Canis lupus familiaris: one gene and its partners. The protein of the gene in region 1 purifies or fractionates together with the protein of each later gene. This does not show direct contact. Links are inferred from orthologs where the notes say so. Each region holds a gene or a part of one and is shown on either strand. Other genes may lie near its edges. The genes, in order: CNOT1, CAPZA2, CNOT8 and CAPZA1.

Region 1 (4,222 bases):
AATACTTAAACTGCCATTACATTTTGGGCCATTTGGTCATGATATATCATTGTGATTTCTAGTTCCGATATTTGGCATTTTTGTGTGATTTTTCACATCAAGTTTTGGTATCAATATTACGCAAATCTCATTGAAAGAGCTGGAAAATATTCTTTCTAAATTTATTTTTGAGATCATGAAAATAGTATTCATTTTTCCTTAAATATTGATAATTAATTTTTTACCAGTAAAGCTATCGAGGCCTGGATTTTAATCTTTTCAAAGAACGAGCTTTGATTCATCTTTCCTTCAGTACTTTTAAAACATGTAATTGATTTTGGCTCTTTTACTTTCTTGGTTTTCATTAGCTGCTTTTTCCATCTTCTGCAGACTTATGTCATTTTAATTACTTTTTGCCAGCCTCTTTGAGCATATACATTTAATGTATAAACTCCTCAGAGCTAGTTATTGGTGATTTAAGCCTGTAATTTGTTACTGAGGTATATACTTTTGTATTTACTTGTTATGTTCATAATAGTATAAATGTTACTCTCATTTCTTAACAATGTGGAAACAGCCAATGTTTTTCTCATTTTTAAAAAATAGGGCACTTTGAGGGTGCTGCTGGTTCTTTTGCATGATTTCCCTGAGTTCCTTTGTGATTACCATTATGGATTTTGTGATGTGATCCCACCTAATTGTATTCAGCTAAGAAATCTCATTCTGAGTGCCTTCCCAAGAAACATGAGGCTCCCGGACCCATTCACTCCTAATCTGAAGGTAAATTCCAAACAATTTAAGGAAAAGAAAGTTTTGTCTTAGTATTTTAGTCCTTTCTCTGGTAGTAGACTTATTTAACCCCTTTCCTTGCACACACACACACGCACAAATTTGTTAGGTAAGGATGGTCTTTGCGGGGGTGATCATGTTATTAATATTAAGCTTGCTGAATATTGGTTCACAGTATTTGCCTACTTGCTATTTTCAATTAATTTTTATAGAACCTCAACTGAGGTATTATTTGCTGGCTGGCCCTGATGGCATAGATTTGCAGGATAGACCTTTGTAATGCTCATATTTCATAAGTGTTTTTTTTTTCCATAGGTGTTTTTTATGTCTATAGCCCTGATTTGGCTACTGTAATTTTTATGTATTTTGTCTATTTCAAATACATTATTTTCTTTTTAAAGTAACAAGTATGATGTTCTGTTCTGCTGGGGCATCTTTTCAAAGACTAGGGATCTTGGTGTGAGGAATTTCCTCTGTACTCTTTGAAATCCAAGTCCAGGAAACAATTAGTAATATACATTAGACCTCTTCACAAAAGGTACCTATCCTGCCTTAATTTGAAAAGATAATTTATTATAGAATGAGAGATTTTTATCATTTTGTAGCTAGATTCTTTTAATTAAAAATTAATAAAAAGTGGCAGCTTTTATCAAGACATTTACAATGTGCAGTTTATTTTTTTAAGGCAGAGAAAATTTGCTGTTAACTCCTACACATGCTTCTGGTTTTGATTGTTTTATCTGTCTGGCAGGTGGATATGTTGAGTGAAATTAACATTGCACCCCGGATTCTTACCAATTTTACTGGAGTGATGCCACCTCAGTTCAAAAAGGATTTGGATTCTTATCTTAAAACTCGATCACCGGTCACTTTTCTGTCTGATTTGCGAAGCAACCTACAGGTTAATTTGTTTGCCTTTTTAGAAAAACACTCAGGCTACCCACAACACTATGTATAATATTATTTGGAAGTCAGTGTTTTCAACTGGATTTAAAATTTTTAAAACATACTGTTTCTAATGGTTGGATGAGATTAACTAGATTATGCATTTTACTAGTTGTCTTATCACCAACACAAAGCTATTGCCTTGGAAGAGACAACCAGGAAATAGGTTTATTTTCTGTAAGAATTGTACTGCTGATAATTGGCACCTGTTAGTACGCTCAAGATTGTTCTAAATGGATTCTAGTTTAGTTTGCTATACAGAAGAGGACTTGAAATTGTGTTACTACCTTCCAGTCTTTCCACACCACACTACTTACCCCCTCCAAATAGAAGATTTCATGGAGTAATCTCCACACCTAATACGGGGCTCAGACTCAACCTCGTGATCAAGAGTCACACACTCCACCCACAGCCAGCCAGGCACCCCTCCAAATACTTTCTGTAATTAAGATAATGCAGTCTGACTTTACAAACTTTTTTTTTTGCTGGTACCTGTTGAAGCTTTGGCTTCTAAAAGGAACTCCTGTTTCTGTTATTGACCCAACCACCCTTAGGCTGCTGTGTATTTTGTTCAGCAACCTCACAAAGTCCAGCAGATTTCTAAAATTTAAATCAAAAACTGTTGGAAAAAAAAAAAAAAAAACTGTTGAGAGCAGTTCACCTTTTCTGTGAAGGCATAAAAACGATTTAGAAATACTGAATCCTCTGTGAATAAGGAGCTTTCTGTTTTGTTCATTTAGGTATCCAATGAGCCTGGCAATCGTTACAACCTCCAGCTCATCAATGCACTGGTGCTCTATGTAGGGACTCAGGCCATTGCGCACATCCACAACAAGGGTAGCACGCCATCAATGAGCACGATCACCCACTCGGCTCACATGGACATCTTCCAGAACCTGGCTGTGGACTTGGACACTGAAGGTGAGTGAAGCCAGACAATTCTCAGAGTTAAGTTCTTTGCACTTTTTGCTACAGTCTGGTCATAAAATGCTTTAGCCACAACAGACAAATATTTTGTCAACAGGTTTATGGCTCTATTAAAAAAATTTCTTATTTTAATCCAGTTAACATACAGTGTTATAGCAGTTTCAGTGTATAATAGTAATACAATTCCATACATCACCTGGTGCTCATCCTAAGTGCATTCCTTAATTTCTATCATCTATTTAATCAATCTCCCCGTCCCCCTCTCCTCTAATAACTATCAGATTGTTCCTATAATTAAAAGTCTTTTTTTTCTTTTTTTTTTTTTTTTGCTTGTTTTGTTGCTTAAATTCCATATACATGTGAAATCATGTTATTTGTTTTTTCTCTGCTGGCTATTTCAATTGCATAGTATCTGCTTAATGCAGAAAATTCAGAAAATGTAAAGGAAAGAAATAATCCAGAATCCTTACCACATCACTTAATACTTCAATGTGTATGATTACAGTGTTATTTAAGTGTGAAAATAAACAACATTCTTTTTACTAGGCTCTCTTTAAAAATAAGCTCATTTTACATTGTTTTGTTAGTCTGCCTTTCCCCCCATTTATTAGTGTCTGTTAGGCAATGTATTAAGTATTAGGTATATACAAATTAATGCATGAGACTTTCCCTACCTGCTTTGCAGAAAGTTGGCAGTATAGTTTTTCCCATAAGTTGCATCTTGCATGGTGTAATCACATTTCTTTTGAGCTTCTAGATTCATTCTTATTACAGAGACTCCAGTAGGTACTAACCAACTACGTAGTCTTGCTTATTTGAACACATATGGCTTGAGCCCAATGTGGTGTTGTGGTGTTTGAACTCGACTCTGAGATCGAGTTGAACACTTTAACCCACTGAGCTATGCAGGTGCCCTTAAAACACGCATAGTTTAGAATGGATGCCTACTTTGCTATCAGTTCTTGAGAGGTTAATCTTGAGATATACATACACTTGCTTGTCTATTTGTAGAAAGGATTTGAGATAGCTTAAAATCAAGATTTAACAAAATTGAATACCTGATTATCCAGAGCCCAGCAAAAAATTTTTAAAAAGGTAGCCCTTAGTGTTAAAGCTCACCTGGATATAGCCATATCACACATGACTAATACCAAGCAGAGGCAGACAGCCAAACCCAGTTAATACTTACTCCATTATAGTCTAAATTAGCAGTTGTTAAAATGTGGTCTGGACACCCTTGAGGGTGTCCCGACCTTTTAGAAGAGTTGTAAGGTCAAAACTATTTTCAAAATAATGACAACATTTGTGTTTTATTGTTTTGTTTGCACTCATGTTGTCATGAGTATACAGTGGAGTTTTCCAGAGCTACATGAAACAATACTGGAACAGATTGAACACAGAGGCAGAAATAAGAATCTAGCTGTCTCCTATTAAGTGACATTAAAGAAACCTGTGAAATGTAAAACAGTAATATTCTTACCTACATTGTTTTGGAAAATATTTATATGCAGTGGACCTGTTTTTAAATATTAAAAAAAATTAATGCGGAAAATACAAAATAAACCCCCCAGAAATGGGAGCA
Region 2 (3,378 bases), on another chromosome or scaffold:
ACAGCAAAAGAATTTATAAAGATTGTAGAAGCTGCAGAAAATGAATACCAGGTATGTTTTTCAAAAGTACATGATTTATATTTGCTTATAAATAATGGCACTGAAGTTTTAATACTGAAGTTTATAACTGAAGTTATAATAATGGCACTGAATTTCAGTTATGAGCCTGAATTTTTTTCATTTATTTCACTATAATAAAACAATCTTTTTTGGGTTTTTTTGTTTACTTGTTTTTAATTCAGTGGCAAACTTATAAAAATGTGGCCAAAATTCAGTTTTAGCCAACAGTAATATCTGAGTATTGGTCATAATATGCCAAGATTTTAAATGGTTATTTTGTTTTTGATTGGAAATTTTAATTTATGAAGTATTTCCCAAAGTATTTAGATTATGTGTAATCTGGTCAGATCTTATTTCACTTTATACTCTTATTTTTTACATTTTTTTTATCAGCTTTTAAACCGTACTCTTGAACTTACACATTTAATTTGTGGATTCGCCACATTTCTGCTTCTTGGAAACAATAATATATAAAATTGTTTTGAGTGAAATAGTAAAATAGATCCAAAATGAGAACACACAAATATTAAATCCAATTTACAATTTCATTTCATTAAATTATCCAAAACAATTATAGGCTTTTTTCTTTTAGGAGGTTCTGGCTGGCTAAGTCAGTATAGCACATGATTCTTGAACTCATGACCATGAAATCCAAACCTGAGCCAAGAATAGGAGTTGGACACTTAACTGACTGAGCCACCCAGGCGCCCCTCTCTTAGCTGCTTGGTTTTTTTTTTGTTTTGTTTTGTTTTTTTTAAGATTTTTTTTAACTTATTCATGAGAGACACAGGCAGAGGGAGAAGGAGGCTCCCCGTGGGGAGCCCAATGTGGAACTTGATCCCGGGACTCCGGGATCAAGCCCTGAGTGGATGGCAGATACTCCACCTCTGAGCTACTCAGGCATCCCTTTTAGCTGCTTTTTAAACAGTTTCCAAAACCACATTGGGGTTTTTGACTTTTTTTTTTTTTTTTTTTTTTTTTTTACTTTTTAAAAACAGTGAAATAAGCTGGTTAAATAAAGGTTTTTCTAAAACATCTATGTGTTGTATAAATTGATCTGTTCCTTTTATTTCTTAAACTTTTAACTACTATTTTTCATAGACCGCCATCAGTGAGAATTATCAGACAATGTCGGACACTACTTTCAAAGCCTTACGTCGACAGTTGCCAGTTACACGCACGAAGATTGATTGGAACAAGATCCTTAGCTACAAGATTGGCAAAGAGATGCAGAATGCATAAGATGAACATTGCATGACCGGATCATTTTAATGTTTTTGCGTTTAAAAAAAAAATCATTGCAAAAAGTATTCAGAACTGTCAAGCTACCCAGTCAGATGGGCTGTTGCCATTTAAAATCACTGTAATTAATTAGTTTGGTTAGAGCACAAAGCTTAGCTAATCAACCGTTATTTTTCATTTCTTTTGTTCAAAGAGGACAATTAGTTTAAATGTCTTTTACTTTCTGTTATACCTTTCTTTCTTATAATTAAGAGATGATTCCTCTAGTTTAATGTTAAAAGTTTTTGAAGTGTTTCAAAAATATTTTACTTATCGTAACCCTAAAGTTGTTGTCTTTTGGTTTACGAAGTGGGCAACTTTTGATATTTGCCCAGTTCTTTTTAATGGGGTTAATAATGGACATTCTAGTTTAAGGTGGTTGATGGATTTAGCCATATATGCTGCTAAAGAAATTGTCTACCTTTTCCCCTCACCTCTTCCATTTATGTAAGATTGAGATTAGAGGGAAAGCATTTTCTATATCAATTGTGTTTGAACTTTGAAGAAGGTTATTTAGCTAGCTTAGTGTTTAACTAAACTTTTTTTAAATGAGGCCAAGGTCTAATGCTGTTTTGAGATTCTGAAATTAAATGGAAATACTTATTTCAGAAATGCATTTAATGCTTTTTTTCTTGTGACAGTTACGCAAATTAGCTTGAACTCCATATGTCCCTGAGTTATTTTTATCATAAAGCCACAAATGTATTATAACAAGGCAAATTGTAATATATATAATCCTGAACTCATGACCATGTCTCAGTTTATTTCTTTTCTTGGATTGAAAAGTACTGAAATTCAATGTGACATTAAAATGGAAATTTTCCTATTTATTTGAGTAGAATATCCCTTATCAGTGAGTCATATACTATTTTAAAATACTTTCTTTGGATATTGTGATTCTTAACTGGTTGTAAATTAGAGAAGCTGGGAGTACATATGGTGTGCATTACAGTCTAAATTTTTCCATCTTATGCATCATAAGCGTGTTTGTAATATTTTAAAATATACATTTACTGATGCTACAGGAATTTCAAACCTGTGGTGAATGTTAATATTTACTATAGAGAGTGGGGTGGATTTATGGTTTCATTCAATCGAGTATTGCTTACTATACTCCAGTGGAATCTCTTCCTCACATACTCTTGGAGATGTCTGGGCCTGGAAGTGTTTTTTTAAAAACACCACTTTTATTATGTACAATAAAATATTTCATTAGCTTGAATTGTATAGAATTTAAAACTTTTCTCAAAGCATGTCATTTAATTTCTTTTTAAAAATCAGGCTTGGGCTTTGAAAACACTGAGAACTTAATATGAAATTTGAGTTTGGTTAAATTGTTTTCTCTTAGTTTTGCCATATTGGGATTTCTGAAGAAAATGAATTAGCAATGTTAATTTTCTCTTCCCTTTTTAAATAGGCATTTTCCAAAGTCATGATTCTGAACTGAACACTAGGTAAATCTTTAATTGGCTTGTTCAGTCATATCATTTGGACTATCGTGGGTTTTATCCCCTACAGGTCAGTTACTTTGGATGTTTTATGGCCCTAGAATGTGATCTTGAAAATACATGCATTTGTCTTTAAGGTGATGATTTAAGGGTGAAGTACAGAGGCAAGGGTAAAATTAGGGGAACAGTTAGGAGGCTACTGCAGTAATCTAGTTGAGAGCAAATGCTGACCTGGTCTGAGGTGGTAGCTATAGTCTATAGAGGTGGTGAGTTCTGGATATGTGTTAAAGGTAAAATAAAAAAGATTTGCTGAAAGTTTGGTTGCAGAATATGAGATGAAGAATGCCAGAGACATTTTGGGGTTGAGAAATTGGGGGAAATTCAGGGTCAGCAGAAGGGTTGGTCAGGAGCTCAGTTTTCGATTTCAAGGGGAAATACCATGTAGCAGTTAGATACTGAAAACAGGAGGTAGAGTGGTCCTCTGGGCTGAAGAAACAGTGGAATGAATGGACCTGGGTCACAGGGTTTGGTAGCCAGGCAAAATGAAGTCCAACTCAAGGTTAGTGATGATGTAACGTGACACCAAGGG
Region 3 (4,222 bases), on another chromosome or scaffold:
CAGATAGTAAAGTCCCTCTTAAAGAACTCTTACAGGTCAATAGTAAAAAAAAAAAAACCCAGTTGAAAATGGGCATCAGAGCTAAAGACATTTCTCCGAAGAAGATACAGATATGGCTAATAAACTTAGGGAAAGATGGTCACCATTATTAGTCATGAGGGAAATGCAAATCAAAACTACAGTGAGATGCTACTTTATACCAACTAGGTGGCTATAATAAAAAAGATACAAGAACAAATGTTGGCAAGGGTGGAGAAATTAGAACCCTCATACATTGCTATTGGAAAAGTAAAATGGTATAGCCTCTTTGGAAAACAGGCAGTTTCTCAAAAGGTTAAACGTAGAGTTACCATATGACCCAGCAATTCCACTTCTAGGCATATGCCCTAGAGAAATGAAAACATAATATCCATATAAAAACTTGTATGTGAATGTTTGTAACAGCATTATTTGTAAAGGCCCCAAAGGGGAAACAATCCAAATGTCTGTGAACTGGTGATTGGATAAAATAAATATGGTATATCCATGCAATATTATTGGAATGTTATTGGACAGTAAAAAGGAAAGGAGCACTAATATATGTTGTACATTGATGTGCTTTGAAAACATGCTAAGGGAAAGAAGCCAGACACAGAAGACCATGTACTGTAGGATTCTGTTTATATGAAATGTTCAAAATAGGCAAGTTTATAGAGTCAGAATAGCTTAGTTGTTGTTCAGGGCGCTGTTGAGATTATGGGGTATAGTGGGGAGTGATTGCATTATGGATATAGGTTTTCTTTTTGAAGTGATAAAATGGTTTGTAATTGGCTGTGGTGGTGGTTGCACAACTCTGAAAATACTAAAAGTGATTGAATTGTATATTTTTAAGAATTCAAAAAATTATTTGAGAGAGTGTGTGTGTGGTGGTGGGGGGGGGTGGAAGGTGGAGGGGCAGAGGAAGAGGGAAGGGAGAGACGCAGATTCCATGCGGAAGGTAGACAGCCAGATGCATCTCATGACCCTGAGATCATGAACCAAGTGGAAATCAAGAGTTGGTCACTTAACTGACAGCCCCCAAGGTGCTCCTGAAGTGTATACTTTAAATGAGTAAATGTTTAGTGTGTGAATTATAGTTTAGAAAGGCTGTTTAAAATGAAAAAGTAAAGTTTTTGTCCACTTAGGAGATGAATTGCAGTTCTGCCCTTTTTCATCTAGGTGATTTGGAGTAGGTAATTTTACCTTCTGTAATTCAGTTTCCTTATCTAAAAAACAGTATTTCATCATAGAAGAAATAAGGAAATAAGGAGTAGATGTTAATTAAAAGTAGTTGAAACTGAAGCCTATTTGATAGTGGGCGAATTTTGATGTTTAAAATGGTGTAGAAAACATGTAAAATTTACCATCTCAACCATTTTTAAGTCTGCAGTTCAGTTGTGCGTTTTTTTTTTTTTTTTTTTTTTTTTAAGATTTCATTTATTTATTCATGAGAGAGACACAGAGAGAGGTAGAGACACAGGCAGATGGAGAAGCAGGCTTCGTGCAGGGAGCCCGATGTGGGACTGAATCCCGGGTCTCCAGGATCACACCCTGGGCCCAAGGCAGGCGCTAAACCGCTGAGCCACCCAGGGATCCCCATGCAGTTCAGTTGTGTTAAATATAGAGTGCTGAGGTGGCTCAGTATTTAAAACTGAGCCTTTGGCTGGGGTTGTGATCCTGGGGTCCTGGGATTGAGTGCCACGTCGGGCTCCCTGATTCACGGGAAACCTGTTCTCTCTGCCTCCCCTCCAACCCCCCCCCCCATCTTTCATGAATAAATAAATAAAGTCTTAAAAGAAAAATGTTTGCATTGTTGTAAAGCAGACCTCCAGAACTTTCTCATCTTGCAAATCTGACACTCTGTACCCATTAAACAACTCTTCTTTTGCTTCTTCCCCAGATCTTAGTGAACCACCATAATACTACTTTCTATTTCTGTGAATTTGACTGTTTTAGATACCTCTTATAAATGGAATCATACAGTATTTGTTGCTTTGTGGCTGGCGTATTTCACTTAACATGATATCCTTAAAGTTCATCCATGTTGTAGCATGTTGCAGGATTCCCTTCCTTTTTAGGACTGAATAATAAATATTTCATTGTATATTTAGAGCACATTTTGTTTATCTCTTCATCCATTGATGGACATGTAAGTTGTTTCCATCTCTTGACTGTTGGGAGTAGTGTTGCTACTAACATGGATGTGCAAACATCTTCACAACCATGCTTTTAATTCTTCTGGATATATATCCAGAAGTGAGATTGCTGGATCATTTGGTAGTTCTGTTTTTAATTTTTTTGAGGATGATGTAATTGTTTTTTTATTTAAGAGAGAGAGCATGCATGCACACATACATGTGCACACAGGGGAGGGTTAGGGAGGGGCAGAGGGAGAGGGAAAGAGGGAATCTTAAGCAGTCTATTTGTCCAGTGCAGAGCCTGATGTGGGGCTCACTCACATCATGACCTGAGCCAAAATGAAGAGTTGGAGGCTTACCTGACAGCCTCCCAGGCATCCCAGAATGATGTAATTTTTTAAGGGGAAAATTTAGGGTAGACTGTCATTTTGAATTTTGTATGAGGTAGTTTTAGTGTATTTCTTATTGGGCCACAATTTGATTGTTCATGTACATTGGAAATTTCTTTGAGGTTCAGAAATAATTTGGGGAGATGATCTGGATCTTTCCTTTAACAGCATTTTTTTTTTTACTCCATTGCCAAAACCTGTTATTTATACCTTGATGGTAATTAATACACAAAAGAAAATAAAGATTGTTTTTATTGTAGAGTTATGTATGTGCTTAAGATAGTGCTTGTTTTAGGTGAAACAAAACAATGTGATTCAACACTGGTTTTAATTTAGTAAGAAAACACTTAAGATTGTGTTTGTTTTCTTTTTTTCCTACTTATCTTTCCTAAGTTTATGTGAAAAACAAATGAAGGGGAAAAAAAAAACAGTGAAATCTAGTGGAAAAGGAGTTACATAATTTATTTCTCTCCTTTTGTGATATATAGTATTATAAATATTCTTCTGTTTAAATTGATGGATGTATCTTTGCAGTAGAATATTATGCCAGAGTTGCAAAGGATGTTGTCTGTCTATGAGCATTGGTCTGGAAAGATGGGCTGTGCTGTGCTGTGTAGATGTAGGGATGAAGGTGTGTATGTATAGGTAGAGAAAACAGTCTTCAAGGATCTATAAACTGAGTTAACAGTTATTTCTATGATGTAACTATATTACTAAGAACATTTAAAAAATTTTTCTAGTATTTTACATATATTTTTTAAAGATTTTCTATATTTATTTACTCATGAGAGACAGAGAGGGGGGAGGGTGCAGACATAGGCAGAGGGAGAAGCAGGCTCCATGCAGGAAGCCTGATGTGGGACTTGATCCAGGATCACGCCCTGGTCCGAACCACTGAGCCACCCAGGAGTCACTATTTTACATATTTTTGTATTGGTTGATTCTGTTTTTTTGTAAGCAGTGGAGGAAATGTTCATCTTTTATGATTAAGAAACTTATTTTGTGAGGGCAAGTCTCACTTTTCCATCTGCCACAGAGATAAGATTATTTATTTTGAGTGCTTGCTGAATACTGGAAAAAATGAATTGGTCCCTTCATTTCAATAATACTTGTTCATTAATAAGGTGATGTTAATATTGCTACCCACTACTCTTAGATTATCCATCAGCTAAGAAGTGAATACCTTCTTTTTTAGAGAGGACATGTACTCCCAGGATTCCATAGATCTCCTTGCTAACTCAGGACTGCAATTTCAGAAGCATGAAGAGGAAGGAATTGACACATTGCACTTTGCAGAGCTGCTTATGACATCAGGGGTGGTTCTCTGTGACAACGTCAAATGGCTTTCATTTCATAGGTTAGTCCCAGAAAATGTGTATTTCTCTTGCTTTGGGAGCAGGGAATTACATTCTTCTGTTATTTCTGCAGTCCTTTTGGCTCTCTTCTTTTGGTCAATTATGAAACAGTTATGAAGTTCAAATGGTAACTTGCCCATGTTTGTTTTTCAAAAAATACTTTGGAGCTCATTCTTGTTTGTTTCACACAGTGGTAGGCTCTGTCATTTGGTTATCAGTGGGTACATTCCAAGTGGAAAGATGGAGGATGGGGTGGGGGATCAAAGCACTTGATCATCTTTTTCTTGTCCTTTAAATGTCTGGCCTGAAGTTTATGATGAAT
Region 4 (4,904 bases), on another chromosome or scaffold:
GTATCTAGTTAACACATGGAAAAATAAATGATAAAGTCAACGAATAGTTTTTGCTGGGCATATGACTAGTGAGCACTTCATTAACATTACAGAGACACCAAATCAGCTCTTTCAGCCAATATATTTAGTTTGTTTTGATATGTTACTTATATCTGAGCTGATATACATAACCTATGTTCTAAAAAGTCCAAAATATTTCAGAACATTATTTTACAGTATTTCATGTCATCCTGTCAAATAGGTAAGGGAACATGTGCCTTTTCTTGCGACAGAAAACTAAACCACAGGTAGGGACAGTCACAGCCATCACACAGCACAAGTACTTTCATCTTGTTCGGAGCTTGAGTGGAAATATTATCAAGACATGGTAAGAGGCCCTGGGCTCCCATCCGCTTTGCCCTGGCTACAGGTAAGGGGCAGTATTTGCAGAATCCAGGGAATCAGCATCACTTCTTACACGTCCTCGTATGTTCAGCTCAGACTACAAAGCAAGCTCTCTATAAACGTTGAAAGGAGAACCCATCACTGTTGGTGGCTCTCTTTCCCTTCACTTCCTGTGCCGTTTTATTACTCCGGATAAAGCCTACAGCAAAGAACAGGCCAAAATACCACGAAAACCATTTCTTGACAGAACTATCTCAAGATGAGACAATGGCTGGCTAAGTTCACGGCATTTTTTTTTTTTTCTTTCCTTTTTGGCCTTTGAATACATAAGCCCTCATCTTTGTTGTCTAGGTGTGGGAACTCTTCATCGGCGAGAGACTCAGAAGAATGATTTTCAAGGGATTCTACCAGTGCTGGGGGTGTATATAATTCTGCAGCCGATAGGAAAACGCTCTCATCTGTTGCGCTACCTGAATCCTACAGCTTGTCAGGTGGCTCTTCCGCGCGCGGGTCGACGAGGACAGAACCGGGAGGGCGGATCTTAAGAGCTCAAGGGAGGAGCCCATAGCCGAGGCTCAGGTTTGACAATCAGCTGCGGACCTGCGGCCCAGGAGAAGAGCGCCCTGGACCCCGCACCGCCGACTCCTTCTCCGAAGGCCTGCGGGGACTGCGGACAATCTCCGCCCTTTGCCCTTTGCCCCCAGCCACTCTCCTAGCCCCCCTCCCCCCTCCCCTCCCCCCCCCGCCCCCGTCCCCAGGGAGGTCTGGGCCTCTCACCCGCAGCCAAGTTCTCACACAGCCTCAGCGGAACCCTCAGAGCGTAAAGCAGTCCGAGCCCCGCCACGAACCACAGCGAGGGCCCAGTCCCCGCCAGCCCGGCCCGCAGTCGCTCCCTCCAGCCCAGCGACGGGCTCGGGCCGGGAGTAGGTGCGGGAGGAGCGGCCGCAGCGCTCGCTGCCTCACCCAAGCCGCCGCCGTCCGCCATCTTGCCGCTCCCGCACGCTCCGGGAGCTGGGAGGGGAGAAGGGCAGGAAACCGGGAGTCGGGAATCCTGGGATAGTGGCGGACCTGAAGGTGGCCTCTGTGAAAGCTCAGGTCCGAGGAACGCGGACCAAAGCCATTTGGAAGGTGGAGGAGCGTCCCAGTCTACCTTTCCTTCGGAGGGCGGGAAGGGGAGGCTAGCGGCGCCGATTCTGGAGGAACTGGACTGAGATGTGACCTCGGACTGCTGAAACGTTTTTGCTTCCATACGGCTGAGGGTCACCTTTAACCCTGTTTATGGGGTTGGAATAGCCACCGGCCGGTTCAGGGCCCGAGCAGCACGTAACCCTTTGGACTCGGCTGCCACGGAGATCACGGGTACTGGGAAAACCTATAGTAGCCATCGCTATTTTGTCGGAAGGAGCTCGGGCGTCAGTAGTCGAAACACGCTCCCAGCGCCTCCTGGATGAATGGGGACATGAATGCAACTCAATGAGAAAGCTGTTAGACTTAAAATCCTTTAAGGACCAGCCTTGAGGCCGAGCTACGGACTCCCCGAGGGCCGGCGCTCGGAACCCGCACCCCCGCCAGTAACTGACATGGCGCCCTCTGGGCCGGCATTTCCGGGCGGGTCCTTCCGACGGCCCCCGCGGTGATTCCATCACTCAGCTTCCTTCCCGGCCTGCCTCGCGCCGGGGCCGGGCTGGGCCAGAGCAGCCCAAGATGGCCGACTTCGAGGATCGGGTGTCGGATGAGGAGAAGGTAAGGGGTCCGCCTCTCTCTTTTGCGTCCTCCCGCGACAGGGAACAGGGGCCTGACCTGGCTGCGGTGGAAACCCTGGCAGTGTCCCCAGGTGGAAGAACCTTGCTGGGCTGTGCTGGCGGCATACCCGCTGCAGCTGGGACACTTCCGTCTCTAGGGGCATTCCTCTGCCTCACAGTGGCCCCAGTTCCCCATTCCTCAACTCTTTTCTCTCCCTCTGGGCCCGAGTGACAACCCAGTGACCTTCCCGGAAGAGGAAAGACTTTCCTTTATTGAGTCGTGGCTGTGGACTCTTTTTCTGTGATTAAGAGCGGGGTGGATGGTGATGTCTCGGATCAGGAAGCAGGTATTTTACCGCCTTTAACTGTCGGGGCTCGCCCCAGCCCCCCATTTTTAGATATGATTGAGGCTAGTTTAGGGCGAGTCACTTCCTGGTCAGGGTGGCCTCTTAACTTCCCTTTTGCTCCTCCTTCCTCAGGAAGTGATCTTGCTGTCACGACTCCTCGACAGGGAGAGGTCCCCGTGTGTTGCCCGCCCGTCCACTTTTCTCATTATTGGCTGAACTAATTCTCAGTAATAAATGTGCAAGCCTTAGGATATTTACCTCAGGATTTGAACACCACTCTTACCTATAGACCCTCCCTTGATTGATTGCACGTATGTACACAACAAGCCATGACTCTCCATCCCTTGCGTCTTACATACTATTAAGGGTAATTTTTGAAAAATAGTTTTTCTTGTTCACAAGTCAAGAATAGCCAGCGGATTTTTTTTTTTTTTTTAAACTCCATAAAGGTTTTATATAGCACATAAACTTCATGGTTAACAGATTCGGTCTGGACAAAAGCATCGTCTTTGATGCTCCACTGTGGTGTCATTGATTATAGTTAAATTTGTAAGTGTGTAATTTGCGTATTTACTTCTTTAAAAATGTTTTAAGTACAAGCGCATGCTCTGCGTTAGGTGGAATGACTTTTTGCTGACAACTGTACAGCTTTCTTAATGCTTTGTCAGGCTTTTCAGTAAATACTTGATTTTAGGGCCTGCAGAAATTAGAATGATTTCACTAGATGACTCGCTATAGGACAAGAGTTATGTCTTTTATTTATTTCCCACAGTGGCTGTTACAAAAGGTGCAGTCTTGTGTGCTCTATAAATGCATCTGGGCTCTTTCTTTTTTAATACAAGAGAAGAGATGACACAAGGGAATGTTAATGACCCAAGAGTATTCTGTACAGAGTAGTTTGATATGTCATACCTATGTATGCCATGTCATTTTGAAACCCTGAAGAATGTGCTAAACACAAGCCATTGAATAATACTTTGGCGTTAAATTTTCTCGTTCTTGAAAATTTTTGTGTGTAAAACTTAGGGGAGAAAAGGGTGTCATATATGAATTTATGCCGAACAGAATCTGCAATAAAATGTCTAGTCTAAGGCAAATAGTTATGATGCCGGTGAAATTAAATTATAGTAAAAATCACAATAACCCTACATTTGTTAGCTGAACTGATGGTTCACTTGTTTTAAGGGAAAATATTGTTAAAATTTCACTAAATACTACATTTACCAATATTGTTGGGTTTTTGTCATTGACAAAACTAGATGACAAAATTAGAATGCCTTTTTAATTAAACTTGAGAAAATGTATTTCAAGTGCAAATTGAGATGTCTTTAGACATGACAATGTTCAACAACATTAATAGTCTTGATTTTATAACAGCAGATTTGTGACCAGATTTGTAATCTCTTAGCATACTTTTGTTGCTTAATTTTAATAATGATACAGCAAACGTGTTAAAAAATATTTTTAAAAATCTTTAAAAAAAAAAAGATTCTTTTCCTATAAACTTTTCACAATGAAAGTACAATTACAGAAAAATTTTGCTTATTTTTTAAGATTTTATTTATTTATTCATGAGAGAGATACACAGAGAGAGAGAGAGAGAGAGAGAGAGGCAGAGACACAGGCAGAGGGAGAAGCAGGCTCCATGCAGGGAGCCTGATGTGGGACTCCATCCTCGGTCTCCAGGATCACCGCCCTGGGCCGAAGGCAGGTGCTAAACCGCTGAGCCACCCAGAGATCCCCCCCCAAAAAATGTTAAAATCAGGGATATTTTCAGACATAATTTGTATTGATTCCTCCTTGAAGGAACTCTGAAGTTTCCATTTTATCCTTTTTAAGATCTTAATTGCATTAGATTTCGAGTTTTTAAGGCATTTATGTCATGATGCTGAATATATTTTAATATTGCTTTTTATCTTTGTTGCATCTCCTAAAAACAGTGAACCCAGAGTTAAATTTGGTGTCGATAGTCTTTGATTTCCTTGCAATTATTTCTATAAAAGCTGGTAAGATCAACCATTCTCTTAAGTAACTGCTTGGGGTTTTTATCACTTTACAAAGAGGAAGTTGGGTTTTTTAACTTCTACATTGTTACCTGAAATGGTCATGATGAGCTGCCTAAATAAAACAGGAAGCTGAAAGTATAAAATAACTTGCAAAATAAATGCTTTTAGTTTTATTCTTGAGTTTAGTTTCTGAGAATAACAATGAGTGTATTCTTCTATTCACTTAGAGTCTTCAGTTACTTGGTTCCAAATGCTTAACAAGACCAAAATGACAAGATACTGTAATTAGGAAACTTGAAGTATGAGACAAACTACTTGCTTGGGGTCCTTGCACTGTCTGTTTCCTTTATTTCATGATTCAGCATTTTTAAAACAATTGCAGAAAGAATTTAAGGCCGGAAAAAAAAGTGCAATTAGCATATTTT

The links.
Region 2: the proteins of CNOT1 (region 1) and CAPZA2 purify together in Homo sapiens (affinity purification with mass spectrometry; 3 studies listed by BioGRID and IntAct, counting the BioPlex papers as one, with this or other methods). This does not show direct contact. The link is inferred for Canis lupus familiaris from reciprocal best matches to the Homo sapiens genes CNOT1 and CAPZA2.
Region 3: the proteins of CNOT1 (region 1) and CNOT8 purify together in Homo sapiens (co-immunoprecipitation; 5 studies listed by BioGRID and IntAct, with this or other methods). This does not show direct contact. The link is inferred for Canis lupus familiaris from reciprocal best matches to the Homo sapiens genes CNOT1 and CNOT8.
Region 4: the proteins of CNOT1 (region 1) and CAPZA1 purify together in Homo sapiens (affinity purification with mass spectrometry; 3 studies listed by BioGRID and IntAct, with this or other methods). This does not show direct contact. The link is inferred for Canis lupus familiaris from reciprocal best matches to the Homo sapiens genes CNOT1 and CAPZA1.

The regions. Positions count from the first base shown.
Region 1 is NC_049223.1:57,401,748-57,405,969, forward strand, and holds part of CNOT1 (CCR4-NOT transcription complex subunit 1), read left to right. Parts: intron 1-585; coding exon 586-759; intron 760-1,519; coding exon 1,520-1,669; intron 1,670-2,453; coding exon 2,454-2,634; intron 2,635-4,222.
Region 2 is NC_049235.1:55,951,371-55,954,748, forward strand, and holds the end of CAPZA2 (F-actin-capping protein subunit alpha-2), read left to right. Parts: coding exon 1-51; intron 52-1,161; coding exon 1,162-1,302; 3' UTR 1,303-2,663; downstream 2,664-3,378. UniProt on the Homo sapiens protein: F-actin-capping proteins bind in a Ca(2+)-independent manner to the fast growing ends of actin filaments (barbed end) thereby blocking the exchange of subunits at these ends.
Region 3 is NC_049225.1:55,808,440-55,812,661, reverse strand, and holds part of CNOT8 (CCR4-NOT transcription complex subunit 8), read left to right. Parts: intron 1-3,740; coding exon 3,741-3,902; intron 3,903-4,222. UniProt on the Homo sapiens protein: Has 3'-5' poly(A) exoribonuclease activity for synthetic poly(A) RNA substrate. Its function seems to be partially redundant with that of CNOT7.
Region 4 is NC_049238.1:63,670,936-63,675,839, reverse strand, and holds the start of CAPZA1 (F-actin-capping protein subunit alpha-1), read left to right. Parts: upstream 1-1,633; 5' UTR 1,634-2,088; coding exon 2,089-2,127; intron 2,128-4,904. Other genes in the region: ST7L (suppressor of tumorigenicity 7 protein-like), read right to left, coding at 1,162-1,633. UniProt on the Homo sapiens protein: F-actin-capping proteins bind in a Ca(2+)-independent manner to the fast growing ends of actin filaments (barbed end) thereby blocking the exchange of subunits at these ends.